4 linked regions of the Tamandua tetradactyla genome follow. The protein of the gene in region 2 interacts with the protein of the main gene of each other region in a pairwise test. Links are inferred from orthologs where the notes say so. Each region holds a gene or a part of one and is shown on either strand. Other genes may lie near its edges. The genes, in order: CHD2, TRIM41, GPATCH2L and TOP3B.

Region 1 (7,857 bases), on a different chromosome or scaffold from region 2:
ATTTTATACGCTTTACAACTGAAACTCTTTATCAAATAATGCCTGCCCAACCTCCTTCAGTTTAATTTTTACAAAAGGTGCTAATAATCTCCCAAGAGCCAAGTACCATTTGGAAACTACAGGTTTTAGAGCTTAAAACAGCAAGAACCCAAAACAAAATAGATATCAATCAAATGCTCTTTTCTTGCCACTTTCTGCTGTTCTCTGAAAAATAAGCAGAAGGCTCAAAACAAACCTAATAAACACTCGTTCTTATAAAAAGCTAATTGGTTCTAAGTGGACTGCAAGCAATTCCTAGATAAACTGCTCTATCATGGTATGCATTTTAATTACGTAGTAAAGATATTTACTTTGAACTAAAACGTCTTTCATAGACAATAATTTATATCCTTCTCTTGAACGAGACTGCAATGCTTAACTCCTACCCCACTTTAAGTATAGAGTATTCAGCAATTACTAAAATGTTAATACAACCGACCAAAATTTAGTCTCTCCTAATACACAAAAAAGGGAAGAGATTACTACCTTCGCTCATGCTGCAGTAGGTGAACTTCAAGAACTACAAACAATGATCAAAGCTCAAGTTCAAAAACCACTTGTCCCCATGGAAGTTTGTTATTTTAAAACAATGGAAGAAATTTTATAAATAACCACACTTGAGGAAATGCCAACACTTAGGGAATCTTTCACAAACACTTCTATAAAAAGAAAACCCCACAATACTTTACCTAGCTTCCACAAACCATACAAAGAATTTTTCCCAAAAAAATAATAGACAATGAGAACCTAAAACATAAACTACTGCAATGAATTTTTATCTTCCCACCTTTGTCCGGTAAACACCTCTACTAACACTTAAGAGGTCCACACTTTTCATAATATCTATTACTCAAAATTAAGAAGTCTGAACCATGGCATACTACATGACATTTATTCATGTTTCCACTAAAAACACTTTGATGACATCGAAAAAACTTTTCAGCATACAAAAAAGAAATTCACTAATCGTTTTTTCCTCATGTTTTAAACGCAGTTTTATGTTTAAATTCATTACTTGTGACAGAGTCGTTAGCTAGTCGTTGGTAAACATTTTTTGACCAGAAATCCTTGCAGGGGGTTTCAGACTGAGCATAACCACAAAGGTACAAACAACAGTTTACCACCAGGACTACTGAATTAAAATCTCCTGTATGGGGACTCTGAAAAGATGTTTCTCAAGATTTTTGACAAATAATTGCCCTAACAGCCAAATTTTGGAAGACGCTCTTCTTTAGCAAGGGGCATTAAAGCTTGAGTTGTCTTCTGACGCCTATTCGCACAGTAAAGAATGCCTAATGCTGTCACTTTACAATTAACCTTACTTTATAGAAAACTGTTTTGACCAGCTCATCGTGAATCTTTGAAATAAATCACTTAACACATACTGACCTGAGATTTTCTCCATCAAATGTCAAATGAGAAAATGTATGGAACCAATTAAAAATACACGGGGGCAAGTTCAAATAATCTTTCCTTTGTTTATGAGCCATGTATTAAGAAATACCCGTTAAGATGTCTCAATAAGAAAAAATTCCCTGTCAATTAAACGATTTTTCAGTAGGAACAAAATCAACTAAATTCACTAATCCCTTCGCACCGAAGGAAAAAAACGGTAAAATGTAAAAGAAAAACGAAAATCGTAAAAACTAGTAAGTCTCCTATCGAAAGCTTCCGATTAGTGCGTTTTACTTTTTCTCGGAAAACACATGGCCCTTCAAATAGCGAAAAACCAGTCTCAGAGAAGGGCAAACAATCGCGGTGGGGCGTTTACAGCGCGGGGAAGGGCGGAGAACTGCCGAGGGCAAAAGCGGTCAGCGCGACAGCCGCCCACCGGAAAGTCCCAAGCAGATTCTCTTCCTTTCCCCTCCCCCCACACGGCCGATTCGCTGCGCAGGGAGAGGAAGTAGCCGGGACGCGACGTCAACGCGCTCGCTCCTCCCGGCGGCGAGGAACCTGACATCACAGGGCGGGGCCTGCCCGAGAGCGGCACCACTGACCCAGCTGTTACCAGGCCCGCGCACAGCCAATCAGAGGCCAGCACCGGCGCCGAACGGCCTTTGAACTCCACACGGCAACTTCCTGCTGTTTGCCGAGTACACAGTGCAATGCAGTATGTCTGTCAGCGCTGCGGCACAAAGGAACAGCCATTTTGTGACTGAGCTGGACCTGCACCAAGATGCCAGTGCTCACGGAGTTGCTCTGCTGCCTATTCTAACTACAGACCTTCCCTTTATTTCAGCACCAGAGCACCAAAAAGGGGGAGAGGTGGAGGCAAATAAAAAGGTATTTCTGTTTCTCAGACTTCGTTTTATTTTTCTTCTCCGAAGTTCCGTTTTAAGAATTAACAGTGTCATAAAATGGCTGCCCCTCTGCTTTAACAGCCCACAAGCAACTGCATTATGCCACTGCTAATCATCCCCAGCTTTTTAGAATAACTGCTAAATGACCGGTGACAAGCAGACGATTTCACCCGCCCCTCAGGTTATCAAAATAAATCTAGCTCAAAAGCAGACAATTTCGAGATAAATTTCATAAACGGTTTCACTTCTTAGGACAAATTTCAAGTGTAGGGTCCTAGAACACACGGAAGTCTGTGTGTGCACACAAGCACCTTTCCAAATTCAAATTCCTCTTCCCCGTTTCCATCCTTTGATATTACTGAAGTTATCCCCCAAACTTCAATCCGTTTCGTGTGGTATTCGACATTTACTTGTACATAGCGAATCTTTTGTTGAAAACATTTAGAAAATTCAGACACCAAATTTTAAAAATCACGTTTTTTGAAAGTGAACTTTTCACTCTTCTGAAATCATATACAAAGTATACCATATTAGGCGTACAAAAAAGCAAAGGAATACAAACATATAACCACTTACTACCTAAAAAAAAAATGCACTATTTCCAAAATCAGGAAAAAAACATCAAAATTTACACTAAAATCCTTTCAGATTCTAAAGGAATCTCAAATCAAAGTTTATTTGACCTGCCAACTCCTTTACTATCCTGTAGCTCAGACTGCAAACATAATTTTTGTAGTATTTCCTAATCACTTTCTTTTGGGCCATAGAAACTACTTTAACTGGGAGACACTGATGGAGTAAGAAACCAAGTACAGCTCACTAGAAATAGCATTAATCTACTACAGTAAAACACCACTAACATCCTCCAGGTTTACATTTTTTAAAGGAAGTGATGTCATAATTATGTACATGTATTAAGGTACCCAATTTTTGATAACAGGAACTTAAAAGTAACTCCATCTTCTCTTCATGGAGTCTCATGTTTTTGAACATTCATTAGGGGTATAAGATTCAAAGTATAGTTGACAAACTCATTAAAAAATATTGCACATTCTTCTTGTTCAGCTGTTACCTCACTGCTAGTAGGTAAATGAATGACAACTTGCAAACATTTTTCAGGTGAGGTAAAAATATTAAAAGAAAAAAACAAAAACAAAAAAAGGAAAACTGCTTGATTTTTTAATTAGAAAGCATAACCTGATCAACGTTAACCACAAACCTTGTATAAGAAAGCAAAAACCCATGTAAGACTATGCAAATCATGCACGCAAGGGTATTATAATTTTAGGTATCGTATTCTTTAATAATTTTACACCTGGGGGTGGGGGAGGGTGATTCCTGTTTCTTCAAATGGCCCTTACTTTCTAGAGAAATCAGTTCAGGATTAACCGGGATGTTTTCTGTCCTAAATATAACCTAGGTAAATATATGGGCAATTCAGTCAAAAGAGTCATTCCAAACTGTGTGCAACCCAATTTGCAAAAGAATTTGGAAACATTTTCAAAAGAAGGGTCAAAATATTATGAAGTGTAATAAAACATAAAATTCAGCATTTGCAATAAGCAAACCAAGTTCAAAACTTTCAAATTCACTAGCTTAATAAGTTAATGTATAATAAAATTATAAAACTAAAAGCAAAATGGGGAGGAAAAATCACATAACTAATCACATCCTTGTTAATTGTATGATTTATAATTTATAGTTCTAATAATTGTTAAGAACATAAATCAAGAAATGCCTTATCCTAAAAATTAATATACAGAGATCATACAACAAAATCATCTTAAAGGTTTTATTACTTGGTCACTAACAAGGTACTCCAGCAGATTTTGCAACATATTATTTGAACAAATGGTACATTAAAAAGCTTCAGAAGATAAACCATTCCAGATGACTCTGTCGAAATAAATCAATAAAATTTTAAAGCATCTACAACTAAAATGTGAGGATAAAATACTACATCTACCAACCAGAAAGCACTGTCTGCATATAAACCATACAAACGCAAATCTTAAAATATTTCAAACGTAAAAATATACAGTTATTGATATAATCACAGTAACAGAAGAAACAGAAGAATACCAACAGAATTCCAGGATTTGTGATTACAGAGTTGATTTCATAAATACAGAAACTGTAGTCATCAAAGTAAAGGTTTTGAGAAATCATATCAAAATTTCCTAAAATGTCAACTGTATCAAAAGAAATACAGAGTCAAATAAAAATATGAACTGAGTAACATCAGTCAAAGGATACTTTTGGCAATTTCTTTTTAACATGTACATTTTTTCATTCATGTAACTTCCTCAAATGTCTATTTACTATAATTTACTACTACAAGGCTCCTCTATGGCCCTCAGTTACAAGTTTGGATATCCTAGATTCTTCAAAGAAAAAATTTGCCTTGTATGTAAAATGGTGCAATGCAGCAATGGCTAAACCGACAAGGTCATTTTTCTGCAGCACAAAAAAACCTAAAAACTGAAATTTATTGTCAGAAAAAGCATCATTTAAAGGACAGGCCCCCTTGAATAAAGGTACCCTACCTTTTGACTGCTGTAAGAGGCCTTAAGTCACAACTCAACTTTCATAAATTGCTACCAAAAAATTAGGGTGTGGCATATTAGCAATCTCAAGGTCATGCTTTAAAAAATGAATCCAAATTAGTAAAATACTTAAAATAAAACAGACAGTAATCCATGTCTGTCAAAGTAAACAATGTAAGCTGCGGTTCCCCCCCCACCAAAAAAAAAAGAAAAAAGGAATAAAGTTGATAGCTCATACCTCGATGCATTGCTGTGTAGCGAACTGTCCTCCTCTTGGCTTTTGTCTTTATTTCTCATCATCTTTTAATTCTTAAATATTAAGGGGGAGGGGAAATCTGTGATTGCTTTGAAGTCCTGTGCCCAGGTATTTACTGTCAAAAGTTGAAAGAAAGGTAAGGTCCCGGCTTCTATCGTTTTTTTAATCATCAGGAGCAAAGTCCTGACGATATAACGATACTGCTGTAATACAACAACGGTAAACACCAATACATATACATATTTCTATTTTTTCCTTTAAAAAAAAAGGCAGGATAAACTGTATAGGGGAAGCATCACTATCAATAAGGAAAGTTTCTCCAAAGTAACACACTGGATACAAATAACAATCTCTGTATCTTATTGCGTCATCCAGGAATTTCTCATATTTACAGAAAATAAAGCAAACTTAAAACATATGTCTTTAAAATTATCACTAATGATCGAGAACTTACCTGATCCATGTAATAGGTCCAAAGCGAGAGTCCTATCTAGTAGTAGAAAAATAGCAGATCCCAAGAAATTAAAATTAAAAGCAAAATCCTCCGTTTAAAACCGAAAAATAAATTAAATAATCCTCAAAATGTTAACTGACCGAAAAAAAAAGGCAATAATTAATACTAAAACAGGTCCGGAAGGAAAAAAAACCTCCATTAGGAGAGCGCACAAAAATGGAGGTGCGCCATGGCTTCTAAGCTGGAAAAAACAACGACCTGGGCTCTCAGTACGGCTGCTTCTTTCCAACAAGGCACGAAAAGAAAGCTTCTAAAAGCTGCTTTTCTCCCTAAAAAAGGTCCAAATCGACCCTAGCAAGTCCCTAGGAGAGGCAGGGGGCTGCGGGGGCCCCCTGAGGTTGCCCGAAAGTTAGAGAAAGTTGCGTAAAGTGAGGCGAAGACAGGGAGCAGAGCGCGCTCTCTCTAAGGCACAGCCGCCATCTAGAGCCTCCTTCCCAGCTCTGAGAGCTCTGCCTTTGATTGACACTCTCTACATTTACCCCACAACTCAGGTGATGTACCATAGACCCACCCCTTCATCTCTACCAAAAAAAAAAGAAAAAAGATCCTCCATCCCAGGGAGCCAGAGGACCCCCACCCCCACTCCTCTCTGCCCCTCCAGACTACCCCAACAAGGGAAGGGGGAAGGGCTTCTTAACCCCCTCTTGCTCAGGCACCCTTTTTAAGCCAGAGAGAAATGTAATTTGTTCCTTTTGTTTAAAGATCTGCTAAATATTTCAGTCCTTGAGCTAAAATAACTTCCTCTCTGGACAGGAAGTAGTGTTTTTGTCAAGCCATTTTGAAAGAGGGATAATTCCTACAGAATCTACAGCTAAGCCTTAATACTAATCTTTTTAAATATTACCCCCTCCATGGGTAAAATGACTCCCCCCTAAAAAAAAACAAAAAGCAAACCTCAATTTCTTAAAATTCAAGTCTTCACTTCTTTATAATGCCTAAAAATCATCTAAAGACAAAGTTTAAAGGGAAATTTCCATCCCAAATGGAAGAAAGGGGTAACTTTTACAACTCAAGAGCGCCTCCCTAGTGTTCAATTGCATTAGAGCAAAAGCTAATGCAACCAGCTTTTAATTCAAGAATTTCAATTTTTCTTCACAAAATTCCTTAACCCGTTATATAACCTTGGAAACATTACCCACAAAAAATTCCCATAACCACAATATATTTACTTCCCTACTGATTCAAGCAAAACAAAACTCTTCAAATTCAAGAGTATGGACCTACCATCACAAACCCAAGAAACTCCACCCCAAAAATCAACAGAACACACATATCCCAACTCTTCTCTCGAATTTCGAATCCAATTTTATCTACACACCCATTTCAACAACTCCAAGTAAATAAAAATAGGTCATATCTGATGGCAAGTTACCAAAATAATGATCCAGGGCAAATTCTCCTTAATATTAAAAACATGAGATTTATGGAAATAAATCGTTATTGTGCCAAAAGAAAGCAATTATTCAACACCCTTTCACAAAACTCCTCAATCAAACAAGTAAAATTAAGTATAAGTACAGTCACATGCCCCCAAAATCCAATCTATCTTCCTTATCACAATATAACTTGCAAGAATCATCTCCTTCCCTCACTGAATCCATTCTTTTTTAGTCATACTAAAAAACAATGTTAAATCTAGGTAAATATAAAATCCATTATCAAAGCACAATCTCAACTCTGTACACTCTATAAAAAGGTTAGCTTTTGTAACAAAATCAAATCCAAAATTCCACTGTTTAATTTAAACAAAGACAAGCACTTCACTCCACCAATGAGAACAAATATTGCAATGTATTGATCACAGATATGCACACTATGGTATTTGACAGTAATCATAAAGACAGTATGACTAATTTTTATCCAAAAGAATTTTGACTTGAACTATACCTTGTTTCTGTATAATGGGAAAATATAATCAATTATCCATTTGGCCTATCAAATTAAAGACCACCACAACTTTGTAGTAATTACTGAAACTGGAATTAGATTATTACAATCAATGAAAATGATATTCACCTAGAATTTGAAATGTAAGCATAATCTATGGCACGATTTGAGTCATTTAATCTAAATTCCCAACTGTACCGAAGAAAACCACAAACCAATAATCCAATGGCAAATTTACATAAAATTTATTATAAGCATTACTATACCACAAAATTTTAAGTTCTTTTATAAATATTATAAGGACTCTTTCCTATA
Region 2 (7,430 bases):
TAAGTTGTAATCTCTTGACGGCAGCAATCTAAATGATTAAAGAAATAAAATGCATTCAAAGTATATGAGCTTAGACTGTATTGTTACCAAAATGTAAAGTAAATGTAAATAATCAAAAATTGAATAATATTATATATGTTTTCGAGAGTTATATATTTGCTCTAAATTATGCAACATTATCTGTTGAGAGAGGGGAAAATTGAATGAATATAAAATTTTGTCAGTCATCTAAGCGAAACTGAAAATGCTATTACATTGAACATCTCAGGAAGTTGTTTTTATGAAAATAAAACATCAATCCTAGCGTTCCACGGCCAGTAGAAAGAGCTGGGATGAAGCTGAACTCAGTTTGTACCTAGATCTACATACGTGCGAAATTGAGCGTAACAGCAATTGTTCAAAACTGCAGAATTTTCTCTTCTTTCACGCTGATTTCCGAGCCCAGGGGGAGCCAGAGATCGGAAGAGGGGTTGAACTCTCCGGGACTGGGACCCCGGCTGTGGGCGACCCGGGAGCCCCTCTACCCCCCGCGCGGCGGAGACCCCTCCTGTCCCAGTTCAGCGGTCCGAAGCGGCGCGTCCCGGGGCTACTGCCCGGTCCGGGCGCCCCGGCTTCCGCCCCGGCCGTTCCCGCGTCGTCCCGGCCCGGACGCAGTCCCCTCACACCCTTTGCTTGGTCGCTCCTGGAGGAGTCCCTCTAAAGTGTAAGTCGGAGCGAGACCCCCGGCCTCGGTGGCCCCCTCCCCACCGAAGAAAAGACCGAACATCCCAGGAGGGTCCAGCACGGGCTCGTGGGGCGTCGGAACCGGCGCTCGCCGACTCCTGGTGGGCACTTACCCCCACCCGGCCGGGCCAGAGGGCGGCGGCGGGAGGCCTGGACGAGAAAGAAACCAGGACCGGCAGAGATCGCAGCCGAACTCGGACCGGCGAGCTGTCGGTGTTGGGAAACAGGAAAGAGGTCTGCCCACTCCGGCTTCTCAAGCCAGGATCTGTACTGACTTTCCCCCCCACTCCCAGTAAAGGTGTGAGAAACGGCCCTGAAACCACACTTTGCAGGTAAACCCGTTGGCAAGAGAAACGCCAAAGTCCGGACAGCCCGAACAGCGGCTCGCGCAGCCCCGCACCCCAAGCACAGTGACTCCCCTGGGACCCCGAGCCGGCAGCCCGGGAGAGGGCGCACCCTGCCCAAGCCACCGCGGAGTGCGCCGCCCCCACGCCCCCTAACGCGGAACCGCTCCGGGCAGACCTCTAATCCCGCGTCGGGGCTGCGCGTCTGCGCTCGGCCAGTTTGACAAACCAGCTTTACCGGATCCGCAGTTTTCTCCCGCGGTCTGGCGTGTCCGTGGGGAGACGTCGGCGGTCGGAAGACGGAAAGCTGGACATGCAGGACCAGGGCCCAGCGCTCACGTATGGAGGGAGCCTACCTGAAGCGAAGGCAGAGTTTCGGGACAAGGCCGGCAAACCGAGGATGTTCGTGTTACCGGGTTTCGAAAAAAAGGCAAATTCAGCCCTGGGTGGGGGTGGGGGTGGGGGGCAGTGGGGACCGGAACATGTGGGGCGACGTTTCTTAAAAGGTTAGCTTTTTTTTTTTCATTGTTAAAAAAAAACCTATATACAAAAAAACCCCAATACATTTCAAAGCACACCGCAATCCTTACCTGTAAGACAGATTTCAGAGTTTGGTATGTGCTGTGGTTCCATAAAAGGTTGGCTCTTAGAATCAAGCACTTAAAGAGAATTGAAGATGAGGGTCTCGTGCGAAACAGAGCACCTGTTCCTGCCCAGGACTTGGAAACCGGACACCGGGCGCCGAATCCCAGCCACCAAACCACTTAGGAAGACCCTTGAGTATCCGAGTTTGGATTCAGATCCGTTGGTATGGACCTGACACCCATGAATGCAGTGCTGGGGATGCCGCCTGCCACCCAAGGCGTCGGTGACGGATCATGCACCAGTCCACGATAACACGAGTAGCCGGTAAACAGAAGGCACCCAATAGGCGTCGGATGTGGGTGAACGGGTGGACGAATAGCAGCAGGCAGGACAGTCGTGGGGGAACAGGCAGGCAGGAATGCGTCCACAGGTATCCTCACTCTTCACTGACTCGCTTTATTCTGTTTCCAAAAACTTAACTCGCCCAACGTGGGGCTCGAACCCACGACCCTGAGATTAAGAGTCTCATGCTCTACCGACTGAGCTAGCCGGGCGGTCGTGGTGTTTTGATTGTTCCCTCCCTAGAGACCGAGTTCGACACGCGAGACTGCAAAAACACCGCCCCCCTCCACCCCCAAATTTTGCAGGATTAAATATGTGTGTATTTATGGAGCGCCTACTGAGCGCCCGGCTCTGTCTTAGGCGATCCAGAGGAAAGAGCAGACTAGCTGAGGAGCGAGGCCTGAGTCCGCATCGCGTGCATTTATGCAGCGCCTACTGTGAGCCACCTCCGCTGCGAGCCTGCTTCGCACGCCGTCTCCCCTAGAGACACTGACACACACCTGCAGAACCTGCCGTTCTCCGTGGGTGGTCTCCCCTTTCTTTCCCAGGGCGCCCGGGAGATGAAATGAGGCTGTGGCCGGTGGAAGTGAAGACTGGAGCAAAACCTTGTTTCCGCCCGGTTTCGAACCGGGGACCTTTCGCGTGTGAGGCGAACGTGATAACCACTACACTACGGAAACCTCAGCGGGCGAAAGCGGCACAGCGGCGCTCTGAGAACACCCGGCCTGTGGGGCCGCCTTGCGTCTAGTCCTCTAGCTCGGTTCCTCCCGGCGCGGAAGCGCACGTGGCCAGCACCCACGCGAGCGGATGCGCGCCTCCGGCTGGTGTGGACGAGCCTCCGCCCGACGTGGGGGCAGCTGGCGCACAGGAGCCCCGTGGCACCTCCGGGCGCGCGCAGCCGGAGCTCAGGCCGAGCACCTAGCTTGCCGCCCTCGAACTTCTCCCGAAGGTGGTCTTTTCTAATCACACAGGTCACGTCAAGCGCTACCTCTGCCGCACCAGGGGTCCACGCGGCAGGGACGCGCAGGGGCCCGCAGAACCGTCTCCAGCAGAGCCAATCGCGCGGTCCTGCGTGCACCTGCGCGGACCCCCAGGCCCTGCGCATGCCGGAGGCGCCGAGCGGCGAGGGCACGGCCGGCACTCAGAAGATTGAGCGTTTGCTTTGTTTTTAGGTGACACCTTCGCTGGCTTCGGAACTCAAAAGCACACGGAGGGTTGTCCTTCCTAGCCCTGGCCTTCGGCCCGCCGCTGCTTTCCCGGACGGTCTGTGCAGAAAGGACGCAGGCGAGACTAGCCCGCGCCGACACGGCGCGCTTACTGAGAGGTGGGCAGCATTGTAACCGCTTCACGTGACCTTAATCCTCACAAACTCCGAGGAACGAGCGCTTACCCTCGCTTTACATGCGTGAACCCACGTACAGGAATATAAATATGCCGACTGCATTTAACATTTGTCCTCCACTTTTTTTTTTTTTAACAGATGGCTGCATACCCTACACACTGTTCCGCGTTTTGCTTTTTTTACTTAATACATCTTGCAGCCTGTTAACCCTAAAGGACACCCAGGGCTCTATCTGGGACTCTCCAAAGGTTCCATGCACTAAGCCTACTTTCCTGAAACCTACAGTCTCCAGATCACCCTAAAGGACACCCAGGGCTCTATCTGGGACTCTCCAAAGGTTCCATGCACTAAGCCTACTTTCCTGAAACCTACAGTCTCCAGATCGGTCCCAGTTTAGGTAAGTCCTGAACCGAGTGCCCAGCCTCTCCAGACATCAACTAGTCACGTCTCCCTACACATATTATCGACAGCCCCTTTCAACATGAAAAGTTAGAATGGGCAGAGCCTAAATACCCTAAAGAGTGGGAGAAGGATCAAAGGAGAGGGAGGAGCATAACAGAGAAGGTAGGATTTTAAAAATGAGCATGACTACTGAATCACTATATTGATATTTCTTTTGGTCTCTAGTTTCTTGGAGCAGCTAGAAGGAAAAATGAAAGATCCTGGAACTGTAACCCACACCAAACTCTGAAATCTGTTGTGTAACTACTTGTTAACATATACTTTGAAAATTTTTGCTTTTTAAATTTTCTATATGTATTTCACAATAAATAACTTTTTTTTAAAAAAAAAGGAATACATGTTGCAGATAAATTTCCTTTCTATAGCTAAATAGTGTTCCCTTGTGTAGATGGGCACGTAGGGCTTTGTCTCCCTTCCTTTACTGATGGGCATTTAGCTCAAGCAAACGCTGCTGCAGCGACTGGATGGGAGGTTTCTAAAACACGAGCGGACGTCTCCCACGCGGGGGCGGAACGGCCGCACCTCACGCACTTCCCCAGGCCCCGCCCCCTGAGCCGTCACCTAGAGAACCTCCGAGTCCTCCAACAACAAAGTCCTCAGCCTAGAGCGGCCGGAAACGCAGCCGGGTTCTCGCCCGGGCTCCGCCGCCCCCCGCTTCCGGCAACGGTCGTGGGTTGCCCCCTCAGCGGTCACCCATGTCCGGCCTGTAGGGTCTCGCTCGGCCGATGCGGGCGTAACACCCGCAGAACGTCGGCCGCCAAGCGTTCTCATCGCCTCCCGAAATTTTTGTCCAGTTGTGGAGACCCGGGAAGGGCGATCCTTCAGTTCCCTCTGCGTTCCCGGCTCTCCCGCAACACAGAGACGGGGACCTTTCCCCTCCCAGGCCTCCTGCCCTATTCCCGAATGCCTGCTAGAGCGCCTCCTCGCCGCTTCCTGTCGTTCGGGGGCCCGGAGAGGAAGAAAGGGGTGTAGTGGGAGCGGTGCAGAGAACTCGGGAGCCTGAGTGGCGAGAAAACGCCGGAAGTGTTGGGAAGAGGGCCGGAAGCGAGGGGGCGGGACCCGGAAGAGAGGAGGGGGCGGGGATTTCTTAGGCGGCCAAGGGAGCGTTGGGGCAGATTTGCACTCAGGGCCTTCGGGGGCCTTTAGCTGTGGCGCTCCGCTCTGTCCCCTGCGCTTGCAGGGGACACGGCGTCGTCTGGGAGTAGGGAACTCTTGCGTGGAGGGGTGGGCTTTCGGGGGAACATTTCTCTCGCTGCGGTCGGGGCCAACTGTTGAGAGGCAGGGCTGGGGGTGGGGCCGGGTCGCCGGGCGCCCGCGAGGGAAGACCCCCCCGACTCCTCAGCCCCCCACCCCACATCTACACTCGCTGACGGGACACTAAGATGGCTGCCGTTGCCATGACACCCAACCCCGTGCAGACCCTTCAGGAGGAGGCGGTGTGCGCCATCTGCCTGGATTACTTCACGGACCCCGTGTCCATCGGCTGCGGGCACAACTTCTGCCGAGTGTGTGTGACCCAGCTGTGGGGCGGGGAGGATGAGGAGGACAGGGACGAGTTAGACCGGGAGGAGGAAGAAGAGGAGGAGGAGGAGGAGGAGGAGGACGGCGAGGAGGAGGAAGTGGAGGCCGTGGGGGCCGGCGGGGGTTGGGACACCCCCATGCAGGACGAAGACTACGAGGGCGACATGGAGGAGGAGGTCGAGGAGGAAGAAGAGGGTGTGTTCTGGACCAGCGGCATGGGCGGGTCCAGCTGGGACACTATGGACTACGTGTGGGAGGAGGAGGACGAGGAGGAAGATCTGGACTACTACTTGGGGGACATGGAGGAGGACCTGAGGGAGGAGGACGAGGAGGAGGTGCTGGAGGAGGACGAGGAAGAGGAGCTAGACCCGGTCACCCCACTGCCTCCGCCTCCGACCCCTCGGAGGTGCTTCACCTGCCCCCAGTGCCGCAAGAGCTTTCCCCGGCGTAGCTTCCGCCCCAACCTGCAGCTGGCCAACATGGTCCAGGTGATTCGGCAGATGCACCCAACCCCTGGCCGAGTGAGTCGTGGGAACGAGCAGGGCGTCTGCCCCAAACACCAGGAAGCCCTGAAACTCTTCTGCGAGGTGGACGAAGAGGCCATCTGTGTGGTGTGCCGAGAGTCCAGGAGCCACAAGCAGCACAGCGTGGTGCCGCTGGAGGAGGTGGTGCAGGAGTACAAGGTGAGCGGAACCGGGAGGGCGCGGGGCTGAGCGGGTGGAGAGGAGGAAGTGAGGGAGCTTGGAAAGGAAACAGCGCGTCCCCCTGACGACCTCGTGCTGGTGAGCTGATTCTCCTGGGGTAGGAGGGCAAGGACTCTACACAGACAAAGGAGAGGTGCAGTGAAGGCTACCAGGAAAGACCGTCTCCCTCAAAGAAAGTGGGGCAAAGCTGGTGATGCTCCATCACTGGACTGAATCGGCTGGGGAGCAGGCCACTGCGGTTTCGCCCTTTCACTGTCCCTAAATATAGGATCGCAGGTGACAGGTCCCTACTGCTTTACCACCAGACCCATTTTCCTTGGGGTAAATCTGAAGTCTGTCCTTGACTAAGATTCCCGGAGACGGGAAGAACTTGGGCAGCCAAAAAACAAGGAATGGTTCGAAGCAGGAAAAGAGAAGTGTCTGCTAGTGCCAGACCTAAATGCCCCGCATTTACTTCCTGAGTAGGACTCCCCATCCCGTGATAGGGCTTGGTTCTCCCCCTGAGGACCCTTGTTGGTTCTGTATAATTTTTACGTACTGACCAGAACAGCTTCCCTTCGCTGGTAATGAAGTTTGAAAAAAGAGAGAGCAAGTGAAAGAGGCTTTTAAGTTAGACCTGGCTCTGCCAGTTAACTCATCTTCAAATCTCTGATAAGTCTCTGAATCTCATTAAACCTTTCATTTCTCCAGGATGAATAGTTAATATTTAGTGAATGCTTGCTATGTATATCAGTCACCATCCTAAACATTTTTCATGGACTGTCTCATTTAAAACTCAGAACAGCTCTGTGGGTTTGGTTACTGCTTCCATTCCCATTTGACAGATCGGGAAACAGCCAGAGAAGTTCAAGTAACATGCACAGGGCCACCCACTCCCCACCCCCAGCCTCTGTTGATAGCACCTGCCACCATGGTGGTGGTTAGTATGATTTTTTTCTCACATGTGATCCGTCTCCTTGGAGTCTGAATGTCTTGCCCCCTGCTTCTGACCCTGACTCCTTCTGGACATAGGTAAAGGAGATGTGTCTACCTGGCAGCGAGAACATTACGTAGCAGGGGATGGGTAGGACAACTTGGAGGAGAGGATGGCGTCTTCTGTGTCATCCGCACAGTGCTTTTTTTTTGTTGTTAGCATTATCCCAATTTTACAGGAAAGCATCTAGAGCTTCTCAGCTGTGAGAGGTACAGCTAAGACAAACACACATCCCCTCATTCCGTGCACATGGTGATTGATAAACTGGCTGGTCATGAGAATTCCTAGAGGAGCTTTTCAGTGGTACAAGGGGCCCTTCCACCAGGGATTCTGAATCGATGGTAGGGAGGTCTTTGGAAAGCTTCCCATAGTTTGAGAATCATTGTGTTGTTAGCATTGCCTGCCTTTTGGGCCATGCATCCTTGGGAAGTTGT
Region 3 (6,962 bases), on a different chromosome or scaffold from region 2:
GTAATATATCTCCAACATTTGTTAGGTGTCAGCTGCTGGAAAAAATTCTGGAAAGATGCCAGGAGGTCTTGGATCAGTTCAGAGAAGAGTCAAGGCAGGAAAAAGAGAAATGGCAAAGAACTGTGGAGATGAGAGAATGAGGAATTCATTCCTTTATCAAATGTTTACTGAGCGCCCTGTGATGTGCCATGCACCGTTTAGGTACTGGGGGACGGGGAGTGGGGGTGGGTACAAAGGCAAAAGGACAGACAATGCCCCTGTTCTTATGGAACAGGAATAAACAAGGTAACGTTGGTTTATGGTAAGTGCCATAAAGGAAATAAAACAAGGTGGTAAGATAGGAAGTACTTTAGATCATATTAGGAAGGGACTCTCTATGAAGGAGACATTTTAGCCAAGTTCTCAAACGTGAGAACCAGCCTCCCTACCCTCCAAAACTCTGTAGAAAGGTCTTAGGAGCATGACAGCATATGCTAGGGCCCTGGGATGCAGGGAGAGAGAGTTTGGCTTGCTGCACAGGGAACAGGGCCAAGATGAGGCTGAGAAGAAGGTAGGGACCAGATAGCATCTGGTTGTGCAGGCTATGGTGAGGACTTCAGTTTTATTATAAATGCAGGGAATCCAGTGAATCAACAGTAGAACTTTTTTGTTTCTTTAAAAAATGTTTTCGTGGGGAGTTAAAAGGAGAAACCTCTTATTTCTTCCCCATGTGCAAATCCTTTTTCAGTGGGGATTTCTTCATTCAACTAAGACCTTCATTCTAATGGCAAATTGAGGGAAAATTCTGTTTACTAAACTCTTTTCCTCTTCTCAGTAACTACTAATCTTTTTGGAGGACTGCACCCAGCTAGTCAGTCTTTGAGCGTCACCCACCCTCTTCCACCCACCTCCCCCAACTTCCCCTTGCGGTCGGTTCAGAACTCTTTATCATTAGTGATTTCCTTAATCATTATGTTTGATGACCTTTCCTTAGAACTGCTCATTCCCAATTTTCCTTTTTTTCCTCTTAAAACTCTGCTCTTTGGCTTCTACACATGATTTTCTTCAAATGCTCTCTGCCCCCTTGAAGCTATCCCTTTTGTCTCCTTCTTTGGCTACCTTCTTCCCTCCAGTGGCCCTGCTTATGGCTTCCAAACCACCTAAAGGTGGATTTTTAATTTAAATTTTCTCTTAAGATTGGAAGAAGTACTTCTAACTCCCTGCTCCAGCCTTTATTAACCAACAGTTGTTTTTTTAATTGACAGTAGTTACTGAGCACTTACACATGCAAAGCACCATGCCAGGGTCTGATGTGAATATGATGAGTAGACAGGGAACCATGGGTTTCATTTTTGCTAACACAGGTATATCTCCAGAGCTTAGCATTGGGCCAGGCATGTTGTCACTGCTCAGTAGATATTTGTGATTTAGGTGGGAAGGTAAACTTGCCCATAATTGACTCTAGTTCAAGGTTGAATGAAGAAAATGCTGCAATAAAGGTGCTGGCACATGCTGGAAGAGCACAAAGGAGGAGCCAGAGAATGGGAAAGAACAAGGAAGGCTTCCTGGAGGTGGCATTGGCACTGAGCCTATAAGTCATCCCAAATCCCAGGGGTGTTCAAGAAATGGCAAGTGGTCTGGTGTGGCTCAACCATGTGGCAAGAAGTAGAGGCAGATGGATGAAGTAACATGATCCAAATTGTATTTTAGGAAACTCAGTCGAGTGCCAGTGTAGAGAATGGCTTGTTTGGGAATAAACTGGAAGCAGGAAGAACAGTAAGGGGGCTGCTACATCATCAAGAAGAGAGGCTGTCTATCCAGAGGAGGTCAATGGCAGAGCAAAAGCAAAGGAGGGAAGATGGAGGCAAGATTCCTGTAGAAGTAGAATCCACTAGGTTTGACATTTAACTAGTTGAAGGGGTGTAAGGAGGAAGCAGAAACTAAATGTGGCTTTGAAACTTCTCACCTATGTAATTGCATTAGGTGATTTCCTAAAGGGAACACTTCAGAAAGGGCAGATTTGGTAGGGATTGGTGAAGAAACTGAGCTTTGTTTTGATATCTTAAATTGGAGATACTGGTGGAGTAAACAGGTGGAGCTATCTAGCAGAAAGCTGAAAATAATAGCTGAATTTCAAGAAATTTAGGAGCTCTCAGTTTTGACACTATAGGAACTAATGTGATTTGCCAGAGAATATCATCCAAGCAGAAAAGAGGGCTGAAGGCTGCAAAGACCTGTTGAACATTTCCACCTCTCTGTCGTGTGAGAGTCATAAATTCAGCATGTCCAAAATGGAATTAATCGTTTTCCCACCATACCTGTTTCTCTTCCTGACTTCTCTAGTTGGTTGAATGGTACCAACCATTCTCTTAGTCATTCAGGCTCAGAACTGCAGTCATTTTTGTCTCCTTCCTTAACTCTACACGAATTTCATTTACTGACGATCCATAAAGACAACAGTTAGGAGATAAAGCCATTTATAATGGGAGTAATTTGGACACTGTGTAGTTTATTATTTTGGTCATATTCCTAAGCAAGTTAGATTTAATTTCTTTTATACATGAAGTGTCATAGTATACATTTTTATCAAAGCATACAGCCATACAGAATGTAAACAATCATAAATCAGTGACTTTCTATGTCATTAAATAATTTTCCACAATCTCAATTTTAAAAGGCTGCAAGATATTCGATCCATAGATGGAAGTTACCATAATTTTGTTAATTAACCCTTGTAGCAGGATTTGACTTTTTCCTGTGTTTTCATTCCTCTCTATGCTGCAGAGATAAGCCTACTTATATTTAACACTTTTGTCCCCATTGCTGATTTTTACTTAGAATAAAACTCCTACAGAAGCAGAATTGTGGAGTCAAAAGGTACGAGCATTTTAAAAAGGAAATTTTTAACTTTGAAATAGTTTATATTTACAGAAAAACTGCAAAGATACTGCAGGTTATATATAGCCCACGTCCAATTTCCCCTATTATTAATATCTTATATTAGTATGGTACATTTGTCACAGTTAATGAACCCATTCTGATTCATAATTATTAATAAAATCGATACTTTATTCAGCTGTCTTCAGTTTTTACCTATCCTACACTTTAGGATACCATCTAAACAGCATTACATTTAGTTGTCATATCTTCTCAGGTTCCTCTTGACTGTGAGTTTCCCAGATTTCCCTCGTTTTTAATGACTGATAGATTTGAGGACTACTGGTCAGGTATTTTGTAGACTGTCCATTCATTGGGATTTGTCTGATTTTTTTTCTTATGATTAGACTGGGGTTATGGGCCTTGGGGAGGAAGGTATTACAGAGATAAAGCGCTATTCCTATCACATCCTATCAAGAATACTTACTTGCAACATGATGTCACTGCTAATTAGTTAACCTTCATCACCTGGCTGGAGCAGTGTTTGTCAAGTTTCTCCACTGCGAAGCAACAATTTGTTTCTGCCCCTTTTCATACTGTGCACTTTAGAAGGAAGTCACCATGAACAGCCCACCCTGAAGGAGTACAGGTACCACCTCTCTGAAGGTGAAGAAGCTGTATCAATTATTTGGAATTCTGCCTGTACGACTTGTTTGCGCTCTCCCATTTATTTATTCAATCACTTATTTGTATCAGCATGGACTTATAAATATTTCTTTTATATTTTATTACTACTTTATTAATTTTGTTGCTAAAGCCATGTTCATTTGTAATGCCCTGAGTAACTCACTGTAAAGCTACTGGGGCCAAAGATTAAACCATCTCTCATAGATAAGAATGTGGATCCATTCCCCCTGCAACTTTACACATTCTTTGTAAAAGTAGGTCAGCAAGTAAGTGCGCCGCCAACGCTTCTCCCCAGCACCCGGTTTACTGACGCCTCCAACAAAGGCGAGGACAGATCCCTGGTAATTCTCCAGGGCGGAAATGGGCGCGGTCGCAGGGCGGAAGCACCGGGTAGTGGGCGGGCCAACTGTTAGGGTCAGCCCCTCCCACTCCGCCACTGCTCCACCCCTCCGGCCTAGACCGGAAATGAGGTCAGAGAGGGAAACCCCGGCGGGGAGACTCGGCCCAAAAAGCTGTGGCCGTCGGAGGTGGCTGTGGCAGCCGGTGAGGGGAAGGAGTGGGATGAGAGGGCTGGAGTTTAGGGGGCCCGTGCCAGCAGGGATCTGGTCTTCGGGCTTTGGCTAAGCAGCTAGGGGCACCGTGGGGCCGCCGCCGCCGGTGGGAGGGGCCGTGGTGGCGGGGCCTTGCTTTTCAGGGCCCATCGTCCCCATTCCTGGGTGTAAGGGTCGAGCCGTCTCAGGGACGATAGTCCCCTCCTTTTCCTTCTCCTTTCTGTCTCTTTTGGGCCGGCGATAGCCTGAAGGCTGGTGTCCCGAGCCTTGGTCGTTCTAGCTCTCGGGGACTGGCTAGAGCCTAGGGTACAGCCCCCCTTGACACGCTTTTCGTCACGTATGCGACCATATTGCGATCCTCAACAGAGGGAGAGCGCAGCCGCCAGGACTTATAATTTTTTTTTGGCAGCTTCTGCCCTAGAAGTGCAGATCCCCTACCCCTGCTGAGCCCAGAGAAGTTGCCTCCTGTCTTCATCCTCCCTCACCTCAGCCTTCCTCTCTTCTGACCTCCTGTCCACAAGCTTCCTCTTCCTTCCTGAGCGTGACTCAGGCGGCCTCACCTCACCTTGTGTTCTTTTCTGGACCTGGGGGCTCCGCTCGTAGTGTGCACCCGAGACTGGAGGAGTTGGAATCCCAGGGTTTTTCTATCGCCCACTGCAGGCACTGCAGTGGTGGGGGCAGGAAAGAATTCTGTACACGTTCGAATAGAAGTTGTTTGATTGAATTCGCTCCATGTTAAAGTTGGTATAGTTCTGCCTGACTTTTTAAAGGAGTACTTTATCAGGGAAGTAGACTTAGACATGCTGCTCCTACTTTTTTTTTTTTTTTTAATCTGTTTTGGTCTGAGGGAAAGTTGCTTCCCAGACACAAATCTTGGCGTTTTAATCCACTTCTTATTACTTAAAGGGATGTGGTCTTTTTATGTGTGTGGCTTGTAACACTTGGAGTTTTGTTTGGTTGGTAGTTTTGGAACCAATGTCCTTATTGCTCCCACAAATGTGGCGATTAAGCCAGCAGACTGTTTTCTTGCGTTTGAATTCTCTGGCATAGGCACAGCGTGAAAACAGGTTTTAGAAAGCCCTTTGCAAAGTGTAAACTGCATGGACAGAAATATAGTCTGAGTGTGGCACCACCCAGGGATTTAAGTTCTAATTATGGTTCTGAAATACTTTGGGCTTAACAAGGGCTAGGGAAAAATGATCATTTAATTCGTATTATAATTAAACGTTGTACAAATTATGCTAGACATTTCCACTTAAAAGGGAATTTTGACAGTTGCTCCCATTACTCTCATCCCTTGAAGGTTTGTACCTGGTGATCTCTGAAGTGTGATGGTTTGATGAAAATGAGTAGAAAAATAGGAAATTTTAGAAGTCTTAGAGAGTCCACTTCATTCCTATAATCTTATTTCAGTTATATCTTGTTTTTGTATGACTGTGTGGTGCTAAAACAGTTGATTAGGATGATTACTAATTTATTTTTTGAGGGATGGGGAGAAGAATATAAAATCTGTTAATTATTCAAAAAATGTATGACCCACTCTAAGGTGCTATACCTGGTAGCTTTCAGGTAGTAGTTGGAACCAGAAAGGTGGAAATTTAGCCTTTTTTTTCTTCGGTTATGAATATAAACCTGTTTCATTACAAGTTTTTGAACCACTGAAACTGTAGTCTTTAAAATGTCTTGCTAAATTGTCTTTCTGTTCCCTGCCACATGCATTCTCTCCAGTAATCCAAGACTACAGAAAAATCGTTCATCGTGTTCAATATCATGGTGAGACTGGGTCCTATCCTATGTTACCCCAATTTTGCTCCTGTCTGATAAGACATTCTGTAATCTTTTTGTGTATCATCATCAAGTAATTCAATAAGTTTAATGGAGGAAAAGAGAAAGAGCTATTGCTCTGGGTTTGCTTGTTTTTCTTAATACTCCAGTTGTCTCCTGGTGAGCATTTGTGTTTTTGTGGTTAAGAATGTGTTGACTTTAGGTATTTAACAAGGGCCAAACACTATCTTTAGTGGCTTAAAGGAGCATGGATAGTAGGAACAAGGTCTAAATGTTAAAATGGCTTTATTTTCTATAGACAGTAGACTCTGGTAACATGATCTATTTTATAAAATTATTTTTAACCATCAAATCCTATTCAGGCTTTCTTTTTTCTTTTTTTTTTTTGAACTTCTTTTTGGCAGATGTTGCCTCATGGATGAGTTGGTACATGACTTGGCCTCAGCCTTGGAACAGACATCTGAACAGAGTAAGCTTGGTGAGCTGTGGGAGGAGATGGCCTTGAGCCCTCGGCAGCAGAGGCGGCAGCTTCGAAAAAGAAGAGGCCGGAAACGTCGTTCAGACTTCACTCACCTGGGAGAGCATACCTGCTGCTACAGTGAGGCCTCTGAGTCAAGTCTGGATGAACCCATTAAGGACTGTCGAGAAGTGGCCCCAGTCACTAATTTTAGTGACTCTGATGACACAATGGTAGCCAAAGGGCACCCAGCTCTCAGTGCTGTTGTTAAGAATAAGCAGCATTCTTGGCATGAATCTGACTCCTTTACTGAAAATGCTCCTTGTCGACCACTCAGGCGCCGGCGGAAGGTGAAGCGAGTGACATCAGAGGTGGCTGCTAGCCTTCAGCAGAAGCTCAAGGTGTCAGATTGGAGCTATGAGAGGGGCTGCAGGTTCAAGTCTGCTAAGAAGCAGCGTCTCTCCCGCTGGAAAGAGAATACTCCCTGGAACTCATCGGGCCATGGGTTGTGTGAATCAGCAGAAAATAGGACTTTCCTAAACAAAACGGGAAGGAAAGAAAGAATGGAGTGTGAAGCAGATGAACAAAAACAGGGCTCTGATGAGAACATGTCAGAATGGTGAGAT
Region 4 (7,650 bases), on a different chromosome or scaffold from region 2:
AGTTGTTCTCATACATCAGGTCATAAACATTATCTTAAAATGGATCAGTGATGTAAATATAGTAGCTAAACCCATAACATTTCTAGACGATGACAGGAGAAAAGCTACAATGGCCTTGGACATGGTAGTGGATTCGTCAACTTTACACCAAGAGCACAAGCAACAAAAGAAAAAATAGATTAATGGGACTTCATCAAAATTAAAAACTTTTGCCTATGAAAGGACATTTTTAAAATATTTTTATTATACACAACGGACCGACATACCAACATTATTGACATACGAACATTCTTGACATGGTTACAATCAGTGGGTCACTATATTATCACATAGTTGTGTCACCATGATCATTTTTAGAATATTTGCATCACTCCAGAGAAAGAAATAAAAAGAAAAAAAACAAACTCATACATCCCACACCCCTTACGTCTCCCTTTCATTGACTACTAGTATTTCAATCTACTCAATTTACTTTAAACTTTGTTCCCCCTATTATTTGTTTATTTTTATTCATATTTTTAAATTTAATTTATTTTATATTATCAAACCAAAACAACATACAAACATGAACATTCTTAACATACAAACATTCCGTATATGGTGCACAGTCAATGGCTCACAATATTATCACATAGTTGTATATTCATCACCATGATCATTTTTTATAACATTTACATCATTCCAGAAAAAGAAATAAAAAGAAGAAGAAACTCACACATACCATACCTTTTACCCCTCCCTCTCATTGACCACTAGTATTTCCATCTATTCAATAGAGTTCAACCTCTGTTCCCTCTATTTTTTTTCTATACCCCTTACCACTTCCTTTCATTGTTCACTAGTATTTCAACATACTCAATTTATTTTAACATTTGTTCCCCCTATTATGTGTTTATTCTTAATCCATATTTTTTACTCATCTGTCCATATTGTAGATAAAAGGGGCATCAGACACAAGGTTTTCACAATCACACAATCATATTGCAAAAGTTATATCGTTATATAATCATCTTCAAGAAACAAGGCTATTGGAACACAGCTCAACAGTTCAGGTACTTCCCTCCAGCCAATCCAGTACACCATAAACTAAACTAAATAAACTAAAAAGGAGATGTCTATATAATGTGTAAGAATAACCTCCAGGAAGGGACATTACTGAAAAAGCGAAAAGAACCTACAGAATGGGAGGAAATATTTGGAAACCTTATATCTGAAAAGGGCTTAATATCTAGTATATGTTGAAATATAATTCAACCACTAAAGACAAACAATTAAAAAATGAGCCAAGGCAACACAACAAGCAAACTCACCACCCTCCCCCTGTCTACGTGGGACATGACTCCAAGGAGTGTGGACCTTCCTGGCAACGTGGGACAGAAATCCTAGAATGAGCTGAGACTCAGCATCAAAGAATTGAGAAAACCTTCTCCACCAAAAGGGGGAAGAGTGAAATGAGACAAAGTGTCAATGGCTGAGAGATTCCAACCAGAGTCAAGAGGTTATCCTGGAGGTTATTCTTATGCATTAAATAGATATCACCTTGTTATCTAAGAGGAAATGGAGAGGCTGGCTGGAATGCCTGAAAATGTAGAGCTGTGTTCCAGTAGCCATGTTTCTTGATGATGATTGTATAATGGTGTAGCTTTCCCAGTGCGACTGTGTGATTGTGAAAACCTTGTGTCTCATGCTCCTTTTATCTACCTTGTCAACAGATGAGTAGAACATATGGAATAAAAATAAATAAGAGGGGGAACAAAATAAAAAACATGAGCCAAGGTCTCGAATGGACATTTCTCCTTATAAGGTATAGAAATGGCCAATAGGCACATGAAAAGATGCTCAAAATCATCAGCCACCATATTCAGTAACTGTTAAAAAAGGTGAAAAGGTGATCAGACTTCATCTAGAGGTGTGAATGAAGCTGATCTGGACAAGACTAAGGTAAATCAGAATACTGGTTAAAGAATGATATGGCCCATATTTTTCAAACTTCAACTTCTGTATGAGACCAAAGGGAGAGATGCTTATTGGGTGCAAAATTTATATTTGGGTAGCACATTATGGAAGGATAATAAAGATAATAAAATCTAATTCCCAGGGTCGTAATGAGAATTCGGTGAGTGAATATAGCCAAGTCTAGAAGAAAGTAAGCAGTGGATGTTTGCTAACTGTTACGGGCATTGATTACCAGATCATGGGCAACCTGTGCTCAGCTGGAGAGAAGAGAGAGGAAGGAGACCCCACTCGCCCTAACCAGCCCCCCGTGCAGCGTGTGAGGAACGTGAGGAAGAGGTGAAGAGACTAGGCTGTGGTGGAGACACTCCACGGCTCTGCTCCTGAAGCTCCAGTTTTTACTTATGGACTCTCCTCACCCCTTGGGGAAGGGACTCTCCCTACGAATCTGCCCCTCCTCCTTGGGGGAGCCCAGTTCTTCCTAGTGTGAGGAGAGGGACAAGCCCTTTCAGCGGAGTTGACTCTAGGCCATTACTCTCCATCACTGGAGGATGCACTTTTGGAAAGGACTTCCCATAACCCTAGAGAGTGGAGCCAAGTCTAGATGATTTGTCAACCTAAGAGCTCACAGGAAGGGAGTGGCCTGGCTGGCAGCCCCCTGGGAGGCCTATAGGGATGGCAGAGAGCACAGGACAGCTGTGCAGTTTCTCCAGTGTGACCAAGAGCAGCCCCGAGTCCTCCAGGCCTCCAAGGCTGATGTCTCAGCTCTGCCTGCTGGGACCAGGCCTCAGGTCCTCACTCCAGCTCAGCAGAAGGGGCGCCTGAGATCGGTTCAATGAGCAGAGGAGTTCTGGTTCTCCCCACCTCTCTGTCCTTCGTTTGCACTCCCCAGATCGAACCTTAGCCCTGGCCGGGTGACTGCTCCTCTATTTTCTGGAGCCCCTGAGAGAACAGAGTAGAGGAGGCAGGTGGAGACCAGGTGACCAGGGTGAGACAGTGATGTTTGGATGAGGGGTGCGGGGCAGGCAGACGGAAGTAATTGGATCTTGAATATATTTTGAGGACAGTCCTGGCAGGATTTGCGTTGGGATAAAGAGTGGGAGAGAAAGAGAAGAGTCCAGATGCCTCCAGGTCATTAGTCCTGAGCAGGATAGAGTTGCCATCTCAGGGTTAAGGAACCTGCCAAGAAGTAGTAGACTTGAAAACAGAAGTCAGGAGCTCTGTTTTGAGACTCCCTGAGTTCCCTAAGACTCTTAATTTCTGCCATTTCCCAATCTTAATTTGACCCCAGAGCTTTTCTTTTTCTAGAGTACCTCTCATGGTTGGCATTCCAGTAATGGCAGGTTGGGAGACGTGTCTACAGGAAGCAAAGAAAATGTGTGTCCTTGTTTAAAAGATATTAAAACGAGATTATGAAAAGACTTTTCAGCTTTCCAAAATTCTGATGCTCTAAAAACATAAAAGTTCCTTTAGTTTTTCAATCCTTTTTCCGGATACATTTTGCATAGTTCATTCTTTTCGTGCACCAAATGTTTGCAGTATTGAAAGAAGCCTGCTGTACACACAACTGTAGTTTGTAGTGGTTTTTTTTTTTTTAACTTTTTTTTTGTATACTATAACATATACAAAGCAAAGAAAGACAAAAGCAATAGTTTTCAAAGCACTCTTCAACAAATAGTTTCAGGACAGATCCCAGAGTTTATCATGAGCTACCATACCATCATCTCAGTTTTTTTCTTCTAGCTACTCCAGAATATAGGAGGGGAGGAGGCCTAAGTATTTTTTTATGATCACAGTCGATTTTTTTTCTTTTTTTTGTGAAAAATAACATATATACAAAAAAGGCAATAAACATCAAAGCACAGCATCACAACTAATTATAGAACAGATTTCAGAGTTTGGTATGGGTTGCAATTTTACAACGTTAGGTTTTCCTTCTAGCTCCTCTAAGGTACTAGAGACTAAAAGAAATATCAATATAATGATTCAGCATTCATACTCATTTGTTAAACCCTACCTTCTCTGTATAACTCCACCATCACCTTTGATCTTTCTCTCACTCTTTAGGGGTATTTGGGCTATGGCCATTCTATCTTTTTCTTGTTGAAAGGGGCTGTCAGTAATATGGGGGTAGGGGGATGGAACTAGCTGATGTTCTGGAGAGGCTGGGCCCTCTGCATTTCAGGACTTATCTGGTCCAGGGACCCATCTGGAGGTTGTAGGTTTCTGGAAAGTTACCCTAGTGCATGGAACCCTTGTGGAATCTTATATATTGCCCTAGGCATTCTTTAGGATTGGCTGGAATGGTCCTGGTTAAGGCGCCTATAGTTTCAAATTGTTTCAATCCTTAACAGTATGCGCTTCTCCTGGTTATTCCACACCCACTGTAATGCTGATTGTGATTACTGCCATTAAACAGGTTGATAGGTGCAGGGAAGGGTCTGGGGACCCTCCCCCCGCCCCCCACAGATTTCAGCAGAGGGGTCAGGGTGGCGGATTTAGGGACTCCCTTGCGGATCGCGGCGGGGAGGAACGTGAGTAGAGGGTTGGGGGAAAATGGGAGGTGGGTTTGAGGACATCTTGCAACCACAGCCTGGAAGACCCCAATCCGCCCAGGCTCCCGGAACGCACTCGCTGCGGAACCTGTGCGGTCCCGCACGTGCGGGCACCGGAAGGCAGATGCGAGGACGCCGGAGGGGGCCGGAACCGGAAGTGGGGGAGTCGATGGCGGTCCCCGTTGCCGGCGTGGGAGCCCGAGTCCGTGGTAGAGCCGCGGTGGCGCTGTGGGTGAGCGGCGGGCGCCCGGCCCGGGCCGCGGGAAGCGCGGGCCTCCTTGGGGCGCTTGGCCCGAGGCCTGAGTCCCCCGGGTGGGGTCTTTGCCTTCTCGCCGCCTCTTGCTTTGGGTGATCCCGGTCCTGCGCTCTTTGGGGTGGGGTCTGAGGGAAACTGAGGCTCAGGCAGGCGTGACAAAGATCAGGCCCAGGTCGGGACTGCCCCACGTCCACTCGCCGCCTCCTGGGCCGGGAGTGGGACTCGAAGGCGCTCAGGCACTGCTCTGACCTGCAGTCCGTAGTAGAGGCCGGGAGGGCCGTAGGGGACCCCAGGGCGAAAAGAATGGGGGTGGCCTCTTGCCTCTGTTGCTTCCACCTTTGGAAATCGAATGTGAGAGGCGGATCCTGCGAGTCTGCCCTGGGGTTCCAAGACCTTTAGAGAGGCCTTGGGACAAGAACTTCACCTGGCAGTAGTTTGAATTGTTCTGAGCCAAAAAAGTTAGGGCACTTACCTTCCAGGGTTGTTGGCAAGATTACATTACAGCATGCCTAGTACAGAGGAGAAGCTTGTTCTGTGTCTAGAGATAGGGTCTCCCAAAGAACATACTGGATGCTCACCTGGGCTGGCTACTGGTGTGATACAGGAATGAGAGACTCCAAGGAAGCGTTTTAGGATGAAACTTTTTTCCAACTTTTAAGGGGGATGGGAACCTCAGAAGCCCTCCCAGAACAATCTTTCCCATTTGTTGCCACATTTCCTCTCTGGCTTCTGGCTTCTCTGGGTGAGAGAAGGGGAGTCTTTTACAGCCTCACTCCTGGGCTCCCAAATTTTGGGAGGCGTCAGAGCAAAAGACATCTGGGAAGAAGTGACAGTTGAGCTCAGCATCCTAGGCAGATGTCTGGAGGCACACACCCAGGAGTGTTTTGCTCACAGGCGTGAGGAGGTCCCAGGCATGGGGTGCACACGGCATGGCGGTGGGAGCAAGGTTGCAGTGTCTATCCGGGTTGGGAGAGGCGTCAGCACAGCCACCTGATCTTAGTTTTATACTTCGGGGTGACTGTGTATTTTGTGGGGATATCCCTAAAGTATTTGCTTTAGGGGGAAAAAAAGCAATTTACTGTTTTATTCAAGGTGACTTTCTCATTCAAAGTAAACAGATTTCATTGTGGTCATACAGTCTGGGACAGCAAGGAGCAGGTTGACAGGCCCAAAGCAAGTCACCAGGAGAAATCATGAGGACTAGTGAAGCCCCCCAAGGAAAGGTGTCTGATTGGGCTTCTTTCCTGAAGGGCCTCGTTCCCAGCCCTCCTTTGTTCTTCTGGTTTCACTTTATTTTGTCTTTATTTTTAAATGTGTTTGTCTTTGTTCTTTCTCATCAGTCCCATATCTATATACACTGCCCTGAAATGTAAATGGTCAGCAGGAAGCTCTCACAGCCTGACCTCCAGATCCTGGTCCCTCAGATTTCAAACTGTTTCTTTTGAGCAGTACTCAGATGCTCTGCTTTTTGTAAACAAGCACGTGTGAGTGTGTGTATGCCCACATTTGGGATTTACCTGGCTGATACGACCCCCTTTAGCATTCGCAGAGCAAATGCATGTCTTTTTGCCAGCCCCCCTATCCCGCTGTACCATACCCCTTACCCCTCCCTCTCCTTGACCAATAATAGTATTTCCATCTACCGAATTTATTTTAACCTTTGATGCCCCTATTTGTTTATATTTTATCCATATTTTTTATTCATTATAAAAGCTATATAGTTACACAGTCATCTTCAAGAGTCAAGGCTATTGGAACGCAGTTCAACAGTTTCAGGTACTTCCCTCCAGCCACTCCAATACACCATAAACTAAAAAGAACTATCTGTAGAATGCATAAGAATAACCTCCAGGATAACCTCTCGACACCCAGCCAGCTCCAGGACACCTCAGCTGTAGGAGAGAAAGCAGAGCCTTGCTGATGCCATGATTTTAGACTTCCCCTAGACTCAACACTGTGAGCCAATAAATTCCTGTTATTTAAGCCAACCCATTGCGTGGTGTTCATTGTAGCAGCCAGGAAACTAAAGCAGTGCTTTTGGGAGATAGTGCCAAGTTGTTCCACATACACGTTGCCCCAATTTAAGTGCTACCAAATAGGTTTCAGTTTGCCTGTTTTCCCACACCCTCGTATACAATGTGGGCTGAGACTTTGGATCTTTGCTTGTGAGATGAGTACAGTCTTATCTTGGCTCTAGTTTGCTTTCCTTTTATGTGTTGTTGGACGTCATATCACAAACGGACTAATTTCCTCTTTATATAGAGGTGCCTAGAAACCAGTAAGACAACAATTGTTCTGAAAACAGTGGGTAAATTTTGGAAAGACTGTTGAGAAAACAGGAAACCAAATGCTTTTAAACATGAAGAGATGGTTCTGAGTTTTGAAGTACTTAATTTTTTGGTTCTTTTAAAATTTTTTATTCCATATTGCGATTAATTTGACAGTTCGTGTTTTCTTCCTGTTTTGTTTTGTTTTGTTTTCCACTTCAGTCTTTGCTAGGTGTGGAATCTGATCTGATGGAAGGGTGTGAAATAGAAGTCTAACTTAATTTTATTTTCCAGTCAGTTTCCCAGTTCTCCCGATACCCATCTTTTTCATATGCTCCTATATTTATAATGACCCAAAAGACAGGAAGGTTCTTAGATTTGCTTTACTCAGCCAGCAGGTATTAAATGTTATATATTAGGCATAGAGTTGGCTGGAGCAATTGCCAACAGTACTTCAGACACAGCCTCTCAGGAGACAAAGCGGTAACTAACTGTGGCGTAATGTGCAGCAGGTTTTGATAGTCCATCCTGAGAATCATGGGGCATGGGACACAATGGTTTACCCTGCCACTGGGTATGGGGAATTGTTAAAAAAGAATTAATGCATGAGCTGGGCCCT

What was found.
Region 1: the proteins of TRIM41 (region 2) and CHD2 interact in binary tests that used the Homo sapiens proteins (3 or more experiments, as listed by UniProt). The two-hybrid records come from large-scale screens. The link is inferred for Tamandua tetradactyla from reciprocal best matches to the Homo sapiens genes TRIM41 and CHD2.
Region 3: the proteins of TRIM41 (region 2) and GPATCH2L interact in binary tests that used the Homo sapiens proteins (3 or more experiments, as listed by UniProt). The two-hybrid records come from large-scale screens. The link is inferred for Tamandua tetradactyla from reciprocal best matches to the Homo sapiens genes TRIM41 and GPATCH2L.
Region 4: the proteins of TRIM41 (region 2) and TOP3B interact in binary tests that used the Homo sapiens proteins (3 or more experiments, as listed by UniProt). The two-hybrid records come from large-scale screens. The link is inferred for Tamandua tetradactyla from reciprocal best matches to the Homo sapiens genes TRIM41 and TOP3B.

The regions. Positions count from the first base shown.
Region 1 is NC_135338.1:91,296,516-91,304,372, forward strand, and holds the start of CHD2 (chromodomain-helicase-DNA-binding protein 2), read right to left. Parts: upstream 3,009-7,857; 5' UTR 1,530-3,008; coding exon 1,429-1,529; intron 1-1,428. UniProt on the Homo sapiens protein: ATP-dependent chromatin-remodeling factor that specifically binds to the promoter of target genes, leading to chromatin remodeling, possibly by promoting deposition of histone H3.3.
Region 2 is NC_135346.1:3,322,706-3,330,135, forward strand, and holds the start of TRIM41 (E3 ubiquitin-protein ligase TRIM41), read left to right. Parts: upstream 1-4,424; 5' UTR 4,425-5,180; coding exon 5,181-6,002; intron 6,003-7,430.
Region 3 is NC_135338.1:35,427,909-35,434,870, forward strand, and holds the start of GPATCH2L (G patch domain-containing protein 2-like), read left to right. Parts: upstream 1-3,958; 5' UTR 3,959-4,086; intron 4,087-4,095; exon of another isoform or gene 4,096-5,867; intron 5,868-6,283; 5' UTR 6,284-6,293; coding exon 6,294-6,955; intron 6,956-6,962.
Region 4 is NC_135331.1:25,990,339-25,997,988, forward strand, and holds the start of TOP3B (DNA topoisomerase 3-beta-1), read left to right. Parts: upstream 1-4,638; 5' UTR 4,639-4,740; intron 4,741-7,650. UniProt on the Homo sapiens protein: Releases the supercoiling and torsional tension of DNA introduced during the DNA replication and transcription by transiently cleaving and rejoining one strand of the DNA duplex.